2 linked regions of the Pelodiscus sinensis genome follow. The protein of the gene in region 1 purifies or fractionates together with the protein of each later gene. This does not show direct contact. Links are inferred from orthologs where the notes say so. Each region holds a gene or a part of one and is shown in the gene's direction. Other genes may lie near its edges.

What was found. Proteins that work in one complex are often made in the same cells at the same time.
Region 2: the proteins of PFDN2 (region 1) and VBP1 fractionate together in Homo sapiens (co-fractionation; 8 studies listed by BioGRID and IntAct, counting the BioPlex papers as one, with this or other methods). This does not show direct contact. The link is inferred for Pelodiscus sinensis from reciprocal best matches to the Homo sapiens genes PFDN2 and VBP1.

The regions. Positions count from the first base shown.
Region 1 is NC_134734.1:16,074,892-16,081,991, forward strand, and holds the start of PFDN2 (prefoldin subunit 2), read left to right. Parts: upstream 1-4,100; 5' UTR 4,101-4,161; coding exon 4,162-4,254; intron 4,255-4,630; coding exon 4,631-4,719; intron 4,720-5,788; coding exon 5,789-5,912; intron 5,913-6,796; coding exon 6,797-6,976; 3' UTR 6,977-7,100. Other genes in the region: NIT1 (deaminated glutathione amidase), read right to left, coding at 760-863, 1,728-2,003, 2,244-2,348, 3,917-3,918. UniProt on the Homo sapiens protein: Binds specifically to cytosolic chaperonin (c-CPN) and transfers target proteins to it. Binds to nascent polypeptide chain and promotes folding in an environment in which there are many competing pathways for nonnative proteins.
Region 2 is NC_134723.1:29,341,670-29,348,683, reverse strand, and holds the start of VBP1 (prefoldin subunit 3), read left to right. Parts: upstream 1-3,960; 5' UTR 3,961-4,024; coding exon 4,025-4,117; intron 4,118-7,014. UniProt on the Homo sapiens protein: Binds specifically to cytosolic chaperonin (c-CPN) and transfers target proteins to it. Binds to nascent polypeptide chain and promotes folding in an environment in which there are many competing pathways for nonnative proteins.

The DNA.
Region 1 (7,100 bases):
AAAAGAGTCAAGATATAAAGAGGGAGACCAAAGGGCCTGGCTAACCACATCACTGCACAGCTGAATTTTAACAAGGGAAATTCCAAACAAGCGGCCTGAGGTCCCCGCAGCTATTTGGCCAACCCAGAGAGACTGATATACAACTGCTTCAGGGGGTAGCCAAGTTAGTCTGGGCATTTGTAAGTTAGTCTTTAAAGTGCTACCAGACTGTTAGTTGTTTTTAAGTTTATTATATGCAACTAGCAGATTTAACATCCTGTTACTGTTTTGGACAACAGACTGTGATCCAACTTTTATTTGCTTTGGCCTCTCAGTAACTCCCATTCTGTTTTCTTAATGTATCCATTGTTAATTCGTTGACTAAAGATTGGCTCCAGCATTCTTTAGCAAGCATTGACCTGTCAGCAACTGGCCCCCTCAGGCTGGAAGAACCTAATGTCCTGTGATTTTCAGTAGTAACGACCTTTCCTCACAGAAGCCCAGTCTGTCTGTTGGCTCCACATTAAGCTAGGACAGCGAGGCAGGAGTACACATTAGTGGCAGCTCTAGTTAAATTATAGACTCTATGGCCAGCGTGGGAGCATCTGGCCAGTTTCTGACAGTCTGACCTGCGATTGGCCCCCGTGGCTGTGACCCAGACGTGTCACACTGACGATGGGTAGAGAGTGGTGGCCCCTTTATTGCAGGGGCTTGGAGCACAGGGGCAGTGTCAGGAGATTGCCCAGCAGGGAGGGCTGGCGTGGAACCGGACGCTCTCACCTGTGGCATCCAGGAGCAGGTGGCAGTTATAAACCCTCTGGGTGCTGGCCCAGTCCTCACCTCTCTCATGGAAACCACCCAGAGACAGCCACACCCCACACTCCCTGTCAGGGAGAGACATCACATTACAAAGGAGCTTGGCCCTCACTCCCCAACCTGTAATGGCCCTGGAGACCAAGAGTCGCATACCAGCTTCCCTCCCACATTTCCCTGCTTGCGCGGACAGCACTGGTTCCACAGCCCACTCAACGCCTGGCCCTTATGTCGACGGGTGGCCGGGAGTGCCAGCCAAATCTGTCCAGTAGGAACAGGACTGAGACCTGCCCAGCAGGGACCCACTGGGGTCAATGCCTGGACTGGCAACCCAGAGCTAATGGGCTCCACAGCATGTCCCAACAAGAAGGGCTGTTATGCACACAGTCATTTCAAGAGATGCTGAGAGGCCTGCGGTGAACCTTACATTGCTTTGCTGCCTCTCCTCAACCCCCACCCACCCTGCCTGGGAAGGGACCACAACGCCCATCAGTCCCACCAACCTCACATCCAACCTCTCCCCCATAAAGGCCCAACCTTTCAGAGATCTGGCACCCCCTAAGGTAGATCATTCCTGCCCCCACCCCTCACCCAGCTCCCACGCCGAGCCCCTTGCTTAGAGCAAAGAGAATTCAGGACAATCAGGTGTGAAAGAGTCAAAAGTGACATGGGCAGGGGAGCAAGCTCTAGACAAAATGGCACACGGGGAGAGCGGTGGGAACAGGGTGACATGAATTGTAGGCTCACAGTTTGGCTGTAGAGCAGCATACAACTGTGGGCCAGCTCCCCAGGGATGGGGCGGGAGCCCCCATCACAGCCATTTGAACAAGGCCGGGACAAGTCCTGATAAACAGACAAGCTGGCCCAAACCTGCCCTGGCCCTGAAAGATCACCCAGCACCATCTGGGCTGCTCTTCATTTATCCAGAGCCGTACCTGGCCAGGCCGGCGTATCTCATAATCAGATCTCCCTCCAGGCTCTCAGCCAGGCTCAAGGTCTCTTGCTTGCTGCTGCCAATGAAGTCGAAGGCCTCAGGGAGGAAGACAACGCAAGCCCCACGTTGCGCTGCCTCTCGGACGAGCCGCGAGCAGCTGGTGAAGTTCTGCTCCTTGTCAGGCGTGGAGGTGAGCTGGCACACCGCAATGAGGGGCTTAAGCGCAGTAGCAGCCATGATGCCAGGTTGCCAGGGGGCACAGGACAGCAGGGCTGGGCTGGGGACCAGGAACAAGAGGAGAGTGGAACAGACTGATCAGGGAAGGAGCAAGAGAGGCAGGTAACTGCAGCTCCTGAGCCCCAGCCCAGTTTATATGGTCCCTGTGGGGATGCTGTGTTACTAGACAGGAGATGGCCTTGGACAGGATGCTCATGTAAAGGCCTCAGTGATTCAGGCATCAGCTTCCTCCAACCCCCCCCCCCAGACATCTACCTCCCCACAACCATGCTCATCATACCTGCAGCTGGCTGCGCGGGCGGGGATCTTTGGCAGCTGCTTCCAGGGAACCTGGCGACAGGTGTGGTGCAGCAGGCATAGGGGGGCCTGGATCACTGCTCTCAGCCTGGAGGATGCACAGGGAGGGGGAGTTAATGACTGTTCAACCACTGCAGCAGGAGGCCCTGATGTTGCCTGCAGGTGGCAGCCTGGGAGTGATGGGTGGGATGTGGAGGGGGCTTTAAAAGAAGATTAATGTCTCCCTCACAATAGAAAATAATAATGGGAAATAGGAATAGCTCAGCGTTCACGAACAACCCTACCACAACACCCCAGCCAGATGGGCCCAGTGCTCACAATCTTACCACAACAAACTAGCCCAGGGCTCACAAACAATCCCACCACAACAAATGAGCAACGCCAACGCAATGCTCACAAACAGCCCTGCTACAACACATCAGCACAGACAGCCAGGTACTCATGAACAATCCTACCTCAGCTCACCAGCATTGTGCTGATGAACACAGCAGCCTGGTCAGCCCAGTGGTTGTGAACATCCCTACAACAACACACCAGCCTGGCTGGCCCTGCGCTTACTGCTTGGTGCACTCCTTGAAAAGCTTCCCAAAATACCAATATTTTGTCATCCAGATTCATGTTCCTTTCACAGTTGCTTTCCCTAAACATCTGACCAGGTTTTTTGATCTGAGGAAGTGGGTCTGGCCCACGAAAGCTCATCATCTAATAAACCATCTTGTTAGTCTTTAAAGTGCTACATTGTCCTGCATTTTGCTTCATCTGATCAGATGGGATTCTTGGGCTGAACAGCCCAGAAATATGACACTAAGAAGAGGACTCAGGCAGCCAGAGACAAAAAAACAGTTTCTTGCTGCTCATGGTTTATCTCCACAATAGCAGGAAGAAGGTCAAGTCTGGCTTGAGCAAAGCATGGGAATCTAGGGCGAACAGAAGACATCATGATCCAAGAACAAGAGTGTTGTATCTTTAAAGCTTCCTTCAGCCCAAATGTTAATATGCTGTTGAAGTTTAAAAGGTGTCAACACAAATCAAGAGTTTGAAATAGTTTGACTCAAAGTCCGTTCCTCTTTGAACTCTCACTCGTTGGGCTCCAGTGATTTACACTAGCGCTGCAGTTATCCGGGCAGCTGCCAGTCCTGGGACCTATTCCTGGCTATGTTTTGTTGCCCCTAAGTCTCAGAGTCTCCGGACGGATGGAAATAAAATGGGGAAAGCAGAGGAGCAACTCCAGCCTGCTAAGGGAATGGATGAAGCGTGGAAACGGTCAGCGCCACACACACAAAACAAGGAGGCGCCCAGGCCTCATCCCCTACCAGGGGCTCCCAGAAATCTTGGGTCCACCCCAGAACCCTGCCCCCTCTGCTCCTCGTCCCCAGCCCCTCCCACTGGCAATATCCAGCCTGCTCTAAACTGGCCAGTCCCTGGGAGGGGGGGGCGGCCCCACCCCCGATTCAGAGATGTGCCCCCCAACCCTCCTCAGGCAGCCCCCCTCGGCTCCTCCCCTCCCAAAACAGCCAGCCCCGCCCCTCACCCGCCCCCCCCCAAAAACTCCTGAGGCGGCCAGCCCCGCCCCCCCAAACTCCTGAGGCGGCCGGCCCCGCCCCCCCGAGGCGGCCGGCGCCCCCAGCCCCGCCCCATAGCGAGCCGGGCTGTTACATGGAGCAGGCAGCGGGGAAGGGGGCGACTCGGCTCCTGGGGCGCAGCTGCAGGGCCGGTCCCGCCGGAATCCTGCAGGGGGCGGGGAAGGGAGCGGGCGGAGCGAAGTCCGACAGAGCCCTTCACAAAGATGGCGCCTCAGGCCCAGCGTCAGGGCGCGTGCCCCAAACAAACATGGCGCCCGAGGGGGCCTTTTCCCGGCCGGTAGAAGACGTGACCCTGCCGGAAGTTGGGGCGTACGGAGCATGCGCAGAACGGGCGGGAAGATGGCGGACAGCGGCAAGAGCAAGCCCGCAGCGACGGCTCCATCCACCGGCAAAGCCCTGGCGGCGGAGCAGGTACCGGGCGGGTCCATCGCACCCTAAGAAGGGGGAAGTGTGTGTGGGGCGGGCCCATCGCACCAGGTGAGGAGGGGGGGTGTATGTCGGGCGGGCCCATCGCACCAGGTGAGGAGGGGGGGTGTATGTCGGGCGGGCCCATCGCACCAGGTGAGGAGGGGGGGTATGTCGGGCGGGCCCATCGCACCAGGTGAGGAGGGGGGGTGTATGTCGGGCGGGCCCATCGCACCAGGTGAGGAGGGGGGGGTGTATGTCGGGCGGGCCCATCGCACCCCATGGGGGTGGTGTATGGGCCAGGCGAGTCCATCTCTTGGGGGGGGGTTTCACTGAGCGCTCCCCCCCCCCCCCGTGACTGACCTTCTCCCCCCCCCCCCAGGTGGTGGCTGGATTCAACCGGCTGCGGCAGGAGCAGCGGAGCTTGGCCTCGAAGGCGTCGGAGCTGGAGCTGGAGCTGAACGAGCACAGGTGGGGGCAGGATCGGCCCCCCCTCTTCCCCCGTGCGCGTTTAGCTGCTCCCTCACCAGCCAGCCACGTGCCTGCTGCAGCGTCACCTGATGCCTTCTCTCAGCCCCGCCCCCCAGTGCAGCGCAGGGCCCAGCCCATGTGCCCCCTGCGCTGCTCAGCGGGGGAGGAACCCGCCCAGTGCTGGAAATGGTCACTGGCCCCCTGGGCTTTACCTGCCATCGTCAGGGGGATGTCGGGCTCTGCCCTTGGTGTTCAGGGCTTGCTTGGAGCCCTGATCCCATTGCGACTCTGCACACAGGGCTCTGGGTATCAGGTAGGCTGGGCCTCAGACTATAGTGCAGGGTCCAGTGGGGGGGCCACTGGCCCACAGAAAAATCATTCAGGGCCACCCACAAATAAGGAGCAAACAACCAAACCAAAAAGCTCAGCCTCAGCCTTCACTGGCCTGCTCTCCGAGTGAGAGAGGGGGAAAAGACGCATTCCCCACAAACTCCAGCGTCATGGCGGAGTGGAGTGCCGAGGCTCAGGACTTACCCCCAGAGCTGGATTAACTCCTCTGAGGTCCTGGGGCTAGTAGATTTTGTGGGGGCTTAGGCTCTGGAGTGAGTTAAACAATGAGGGGTTCATTGTGTTGGGGAGGGGGCTGCTGGGGAGTGGGATGAGGTGGTGGGGTCAGGGCAGGAGGCTGGGTATGGGAGGGGTAGGCCCAGCTCTGAGGGTCTGGGGCGCAGGTGACCCAGGGCTTGTAGGCACTGTCCCCCAGCCCCCCCATTAGCCATTATTCCTGGCCAGTGGGAGCCACAGGAGTAGATCTTTAAGTGAGCACAGAGGCAGAACTTTCCTATGTTGCTGTTCCCAGAGCTGCTTCCTCCCTGCCTATCAGGCGGAGCCTGCAGGCTGATCTGCTGGGGGAGCTCTGAGCTTTGTGGGCTGGGTCAAAGCAAACCCACTGGCTGGAGGTTCCCCTTCCCTGCTATAGCGACTGGCTGGGCCCTGTGGATCTGCAGCCCTGCCTGTACGGTCTCTGTGGTGCTGGGAGGGCCCTCAGCAGCATCTGCCTTTTCTACAGCCTGGTCATTGACACGTTGCAAGAGGTGGACCCCACCCGCAGGTGCTACCGCATGGTGGGTGGGGTGCTGGTGGAGCGCACTGTCAAGGAGGTCCTCCCTGCCCTGGAGAGCAACAAAGAGCAGGTAACATGGGTGCTAGGCATGGGCAGGGTCTGGGGAGGGCACAGACTGCTCTGTGCCTCACTGGCATGGGGGTGGGGATGTCATGCATGCTGGCTATGTGCCCTTTCTCTTGGTGAGGGAGTCTCTTCTCTAGTTTGCTAGAGGGGCCATGATGTGGTTAGTGCAGGGGTGGGCGGTGCATTGTGTCCAGGAATGGGGAAGGTGCTGGACCTCTCTCTCTGGGGCTCTGCTTGGGAGCTGGAAGGATATCTGCCTCGCTGGATTTCAAGGGGAGTTGGGTCCCTGTGGAAACCCTCACTCTGGGTCCCAGAAAGATCCTACCAAACCATACCTTGTCCCTAAGAGCAATTAGTCCCTTCCCACGCAGGGTGTAACACAGTGAGTGGGGACATTGAGGGTTGCATATTTTTCTCAGGCTGGGTTGTCGCAGTGCATCTGTAACCAAGAGAGGAATAGAACCCAGGAGTCCGGGCTCTTCTCATTTCCTAATTTAAATCGTTGCTGTGTGGCAGGGTGATGTTTGCTTCCCTTCACCCTTCAGGGAGCTGGGGCAGGGCCTCACAGCAGCTGAGTCTGCCTCACAGTGAGCCCAGCTGCTGTCCCATCACTAATTGACCACCTACTGCCATATGCTCCCCTGCGATGTCCCACTCCTGTCCCCAGAGGGTGTGGGGGGGGAAGGGGGTACAGCTTTGTGGTCATGCACATTGACCTGGGGTTGAATGACGCTGTCATGCATGAAGAGAAGTGGATGGCACTTCTCAGCCTGGAATTGCAAATAGATCCCCACAGGAGGGTGAAGGGAGGTGCATGCTAGTGCCCACCCTGCACTGTGCCTTGGCATTGCACTATTCCCACCCTCCACCCAACTTCCAAACTTGCAGATCAACAAAATCATCGAGAACCTGACCCAGCAGCTGCAGACGAAGGGCCAGGAGCTGAACGAGTTCCGGGAGAAGCACAACATCCGCCTGATGGGGGAGGATGATCAGAAACAGCCGCCCAAGGAGAGCTCTGACAGGGCAGGAGCCAAGACCAGCTCCGCTGGTGTCCTGGTTTCCTAGTAAGGACACTGTTGTGTCTGAGCCCTTTCCCAAAGGACTTTGTGCTCTCACCCTCCCCTCCCCTCCCCCCCCCAAACCTCTGAGGCTTAACTTTATCATTTGGTGTCGCTCTTGTAATATTTTT
Region 2 (7,014 bases), on another chromosome or scaffold:
GCAGTGAAAAAAGCAAATAGAATGTTAGGAGTCATTAAAAAACGGATAGAGAATAAGACAAAATATCTTATTGCTTTTATATAAAACGATGCTACGCCCACATCTTGAATACTGAGTACAGATGTGGTCGCCTCATCTCAAAAAAGATATATTGGCATTGGAAAAGGTTCATAAAAGGGCAACAAAAATGATTAGGGGTTTGGAACAGGTCTGAAGAGAGATTTAAAAGACTGAGACTTTTCAGCTTAGAAAAGAGGAGACTAAGAGGGGATCTGACAAAAACTACAAAATCATGATTGGCATGGAAACAGTGAATAAGGAAAAGTTATTTTCTTATTCCCACAACATAAGAATTAGGGGTCACCAAATGAAATTAATAGGCAGCAGGTTTAAAACAAAAGGAAGTTTTTCTTCACTGAGTGCACAGTCAACCTGTGGAACTCCTTGCCAGAGGATGTGGTGAAGACTAGAACTTTAACAGGGTTCCAAAAAGAGCTAGATAGATTCATGGAGGTTAGGTCCATCAATGGCTATTAGCCAGGATGGGTAGGAATGGTATTGCTAGCCTCTGTTTCTCTGCAAGTGGGTGACAGGGGAGGGGATCTCGTGAGGATTACCCATTGTGATCCCTGCCTAGGGGACATCTGTTATTGGCCACTGTTGGCAGACAGGATACTGGGCTAGATGAACCTTTGGTCTGACCCAGTATGGCTGTTCTTATGAGGATGAGGATTACCCTGTCCCTCATGATTAGACAATGTTGCTGTAAGGTTTTGCTTCCAGTTAGCTTACAAATGAAGTCGTACCTCATGAGCTTCAGAGGGGTAGCTGAGTTAATCTGTAACTGGAAAAACTTAAAAAACAGCTAATAGTTCTGCAGCACCTTAGGGTATGTCTGCACTGCCACCCTAGTTCGAACTGTCATGATGGGAAAAACAGACATGATTAACAATTTTCATTTGAGCTCTGAAGCTTGGTTTTGCAAGGAATGACATTCCAGTGAATATCATTATGCTAACTGTACCATAAGTATCTTATAATTTGTTTTACAAAGTCATGTCAATGCTAGAGGTCTATAAAGGTTATAACTGTATACAGTTCCACAATCCTTTTCACACACAAAAAAATGGAGATGCTTCTTCCAACATGGAAGAAGCAGCTCTTTGTGGAAAGAGGTCCAATTATTTATTTTTCAGAGCCAACACATAATGCAACACTTCTTCGTGAAGGTTCTCCGTTCCTTGTGCTTTGTATTCAATATAAGGTTCATAGCACATAAAAATAATACAGCATCCTTTGTCATAAGTGTAAGGATTACCTGTGTTGGGCCTGCTAACCAAATATAGTACTACCCATTCAACACAGGCACGTGGCTGCTTTTCCAGAAAAACTTGCCAGCTGTCTACACTGGTCGCTTGAATTTCCGCAAAAGCACTGACGATCTCATGTAAGATTGTCAGTGTTTTTGCGGAAATACTATGCTGCTCCCGTTCGGGCAAAAGTCTTTTGCTGAAAAACTTTTGCGCAAAAGGGCCAGTGTAGACAGCAGAGATTTGTTTTCCGCAAAAAAGCCCCGACCGTGAAAATGGCGATAGGGGCTTTTTTGCGGAAAAGCACGTCTAGATTGGTCACAGACGCTTTTCCGCGAAAAGTGCTTATGCGGAAAAGCGTCCTGCCAATCTAGACGCGCTTTTCCAAAAATGCTTTTAACGGAAAACTTTTCTGCTAAAAGCATTTCCGGAAAATCATGCCAGTCTAGACGTAGCCTACTGGAACCCTGCAGTGGGCAGGTGATCCTGTAGGACTTGCTGCCATAATATGGGGTAGGGAATGGTGGTAGCAATATAGTTTGTTGCAGGTGGGAATGGATGGACAATAAAATCCAGAGCCAATGTTCCCTGTAAGCTAGAGGAGGGAACCTAAGACCCAGAGGCTGGATGCAGCCTCCAGCTTGCCTGGATTCTGTTCCCGAGGATTGGGGCTTTCTCCCTCAGCATTAGGGAGCTGGTGTTGGCACTCCAACCCCACACACACCCCTTTCACTCCTGCACCCACCTTCCCACCCAGGCCCTACACCCCTACTGCGCTCCTGCATCCTATCACCCTTCCAGACCTACCAGGCTCCAACCCACTCCTGCTCCCTCTCTCCTGCCCAGACCCCACACCTGAATCCTGCTTGCTGGCAGTCCCCCTCCCACACAATGAACCCCTTCTTTTGGCCAAACTCCAGAGCCTAGAGGGGTCCATAAAATCTATTAGCCTGTCTCCTTCCCCCTCCCCCAGCACTGGTGTACAAGGGGAAATCAGGTAGTGTCTTTCTGCTGCTTAGTCGGGGACCACGTAAGTGAGGTGGTGTTATATTTTTAAAACATTGTTTGCTTCTCACCTGTGTGCAGCCCATGACTGATTTTTCAGTCCGCCAGCAGTCCCTGCCGTAAGCTGTGTTTGTGGGTCAATCAGGAGAGATTCAAATGCTGCCCTCCTGATTAACAGAGTGTCCTCAAGGAGGGTTTTATTTCTACCAGTGCTGCACATTCACATGTGTCTTGGTGTACATAGACAAAAATTATTCTGCACGTGGATGGAAATGATGAGAGGGAACATTGCCCCAAAGAACAATAATTTAGAGGAAAACACAAAATCTCTCATAAAAAAAACAAAAACAAAACCCTTCTGTGGAACCTTCATATAGCTTCAGGGGGTAGCCGAGTTAGTCTGTTACAGAAAAAAAACAACAAATGGTCTGGTAGCACTTTATAGACTAACAAAACATGTAGATGGTATCATGAGCTTTCATGGGCACAGCCCACTTCTTCAGATGACCGGAGTTATGAGTTTGGGATGTGTACACTCAAAATAAATAAGAGGGGGGAAGGGGAGGGGAGAGGAAAGGAAAAGGGAGGGGGCTAGGAGACAGAGCATCAGTAAGTATCTGGAGAATGGGTACTTAAACCAAAGCAAATAAAAATCCAAGTCAATAGATAGATTCCCTTGTTAGAAAGGATACTACACAGAGAGCTGTTAGCTCCTTCAATGGTTGTTAAATTGGTAGGCTGTGTCTATACTAGAGCAATCTTGCTCTACACTGATCCTGTCTATACTGGCCGTGAATTCTTGCGCAAGTACACTGACGTTCTAATGTATGAAATCAGTGCTTCTTGCACGAGAACTCTGATGCTCCCGCTCAGGAATAAGCCCTCTTGCGCAACTCTTCTTGTGTAAGAGGCCAGTGCAGACCGGCAACATGAATTTCTTGCACAAGAAAGCCCTATGGTTAAAATGGCCATCAGAACTTTCTTGCGCAAGAGAACGTCTACAGTGGCATGGAAGCTCTAGTGCAAAAGCACATCTCTTGTGCAAATGCATATGCCAGTGTAGACACTCTCTTCTGGAAGAGTTCTTGCACAAGACCATGCCAGTGTAGACGTCAACGTAGTGTCCGGGGACTTTTATCTGCTTTTAAGTACCCATTCTCCAGATACTTACTGATGCTCTGTCTTCCAGCCCCCTCCCTTTTTCTCTCCCCCACCCCGCATTTATTTCCAGTGTACTCATCCCAAACTCATAACTCCGGTCATCTGAAGGAGTGGGCTGTGCCCAAGAGAGCTCATGATACCATCTACAGGTTTTGTTAGTCTGTAACTGCTACCAGACCATTTGTTGGTTTTTTCTATATACATATATCATCATGAGCTGTCATGAGCACAACCTCTCCTCAGTTTGTCACCGCCAAGGTCTCATCAGTGGCAAGCAAGATATTGTAACAAAGAGCTTCAATGTGTTAAGCAGAAATACTGCCCTGGGCGTGACTCAGCCCTGTACCATTTTTCCCCTGGGGGCAGCACAGCAGAGGCAGAGCAAGGGGGCAGCACTAGATCAGTATCCTCCCCTGTCCGTCAAAGCGCGGCAGCCAATGGCCGTGACGGAGCGGTGGGTGTGACGCTGACGCAGTGACGTACACTGCGCTCGGCGGCCGGAGGGCGGCTGCTCGGACGTACGCGCGCACGCCGTCAGTTTCCCCAAGATGGCGGCGGCCACCAGCGGCGAGATTTGTTGTGGCGAGGCGCCCGCGGGCGGAAAGCGGGGCCACCTGGGCATCCCCGAGGCGGTGTTCGTGGTGAGAGCCGCAGCCGGCGCCCCGCCGCGGGGGGAGGGGCGGCAGGCCGAGCCCGGGCGGCGGCGCCGGGTGGGAGCTGGGCCGGTTCCCGGCGCGGGGGTCCCAGAGAGCGGCGTGGAAAGGGGGCACCTGGCCCATCTCGGCCACGCCCCAGGGCCCGGCGGGGAAGGGCTCGCAGCCACCTGCGGCTTCTGATCCTCCTGCCCGCGCCGGGGCTGCCCCTTGACCCATCGCCCCCCCGGGTGAGCCGCGGCGCGGGCCCCGTTTCCAGGGGCAGGGAGGCCGGCCCGGCTGCTTAGTCTCTCAGGCCGAGGGGGGTTCGGGAAGGTCGCTCCTGCGGTAACCGGCCGGCCCTGGTGAGGCCGCGGGTCCTGCTCTCTCCCTCTGTGCCGAGGTCGAATTGCTGTGACTCCTGACCGCAGTCGTTGGGAGCGCCCGTGGGGGTGAGAGATGCAGTTCTGGGTTCAGCGCTGTGTCTGCCTGCTTCCAGGCTTGGATCCTGAGGAAGTGTTTGGTGGACATGAGTGTGTGTCCAGGGAGCGGGTTGGTATCTGAGGTTTCCTTTTGTGTAGTGTTTTAGGATCTTGTGTGATGATCCCTGGTTCGGTGTTTGTCTTCTACATTCAAAGCAGCAGTATTCAATATGAAGTGCTTTGTTTTTTCTTAAAGTGTTTTGATATCTCCAGAGTTTTTGAGGAAAACGAATGTCCCGTAGAGAGAAATTCTTTTGACTGTAAGGTGGGGAGCCAACTCTTTTCCTTTCAGAAAATTAAACAGCATCTCACATCTTTGAAATGGTGTGCTTTTTTTTTGTTCTATTGAATTTCCTTCAAAAGTTGGAGGAAAAATAAATCTGCACTATGATCAACTTACTTTGATTATAAAGTTTAGACTGAAAATTGATGACCAATGGCCATATGGTGTTTAAGTTAGATAGGCAATTGCCTTTGCAAGTTCTTTAGATTGTTGTTTAAAAAAAAGGAAAAGTGAATTTGAAAAACCTTAATAGAAAGACTGAATATTGTATAATATGAGGCTATAGGAAAAATTAATAAATTCATAATAATTTTAGGAACAAAGAATTTGCTTTAATGGCTCAGAGTAGCAGACTGTGACTCAGTGTCCAGTTTTCAAGAGTGGCTAATACTAAATGTTTCACAAAAAATTGCTAGAATCCTTGTATGATGGTTAGTGTTGTCTCCTGATGTGCTGACCATGATGCCTGCCTTCCTGCTCTCTGGGGTTCCCCACTACCCAATAATGCTGGGCCAGATTCTCTAGTCTCCTCTAGACAAGGTACAGAGTTGGGGTTACCGCCCCCTTTCGGAGCAGCACAGACAGTGAAGCAGTTCAGCTCTGGTAGGACTTGGCTCTGAGGACTCAGTATCCAGGAGAACAATCATTAAAGGGGACCAAAACCCCACATGAATCTGTTGTACTCTGTAGAAGTTTTACATAGTGAAGGCTCATAAAGGTCACCCACTATATCAATGAAAGAAGGAGATGCACAGTGGTTGCCCTCCATAGCAGTTATTTGCACTGGGATTGATAATAAATAAAAGTGTTTTTTATTAAGTACAAAAAGTAGGATTTAACTGGTTACAAATGAGAACAGTCTGATAAAAGTAAGTTACTAAATTACAATGAACAAAAAAGCTGTTTAAGGTAATGCAAATTCTTACCTTAACAGCTGTTCTCAGGTTAAAGCTTTGTCGGAGTTGATTTTTACTCTAGTTTGGGCCTACAGCTTTTCAGAGTTCCTTAAGTATCCTTTTAGGGTGGGCCAGACAATTTCAAAAGCGGGTTGAAGACAAAGTCTGATTGCTTAAATAGACTTTTCCCCAGGGTGACAATTCTTTCTTCAGTGCGTCCCACCACATGAAAAATTACCAGGTTCAAGATGGATCCCAGAACCTGGTCGCATGGTCATATGTTTTTCTAGGACCAGCTACAGTTTGGACTTAAAAGCCAAACATGACCATTCATGCTTTGAGTGCTGAGTCATTAAGTTTCTAGGTATTGTTACCACATTTAGAATGAACACATTTACTATTCATATTTCTAACTTCACATTCTTCTAATCATTTCCCTTATTCCTTGTATTTCTATTACGTATTATTTTACATGTGTGCAAAACTGATCACCATGGCCAGGATTTTCAAAGGTGACTTTGTCGGGGTGGGCAAAATATGGCCCACCAAACATTTCCCTCCAGCCCACTATGATCCTCTGGGATTCTAAAAATCCCAGGGCACAACACTCAGGTTGCCTGCCTGCCATAGCCCTGACCATGTTGCCCCGGGAAGTGGCCTGCTGCTGCTAGCATTTGCCACACCACTCTTTGGGTGGTGTGAGGCCACAATGGCATGCAAGTAGCCTGCCCGCTGCCCACCTAAGAGCTCTACTGTGCTGCCAGCTGGGAGCCACCTATGGCAAGGGCCTCCTGCCTAGGGTCACAGCATGCACCTCACACCCCATTCAGCACCCCAGCCCTCTGTTGCATCTCTGAACTTCTTCCTGGACTCAAACTGCCTCCCAGTTCCCTGTCCCTCAATCCCCTGCCTGGAAATCCTTCCTGTGCCCAAACTCCATCCCAAACCTCCCTACCCCTTGATTAATATGATAGAAAAGAGTGGCTGTGAACACTTACCAAAATTCTGAGAGTGGCCCCCTGAAAAATTATTGCCCACTCCTGCTTTAGGTGCTCAGTTGGACACCTTGATTTTTAGAAAGAGCTGAGCACCTACCCTCTCCTACATGACAAACTAGGCCCACAAAATCACTCAACCCTTTAAAAATTGTTGGCTATTTATCCATCAGTTTGTATAAAGTCAATACAGTTTCAGAATTACTTCACAGTGTAGTTCTTTAACTTATTGCTTTGTTTGGTCTTTTGA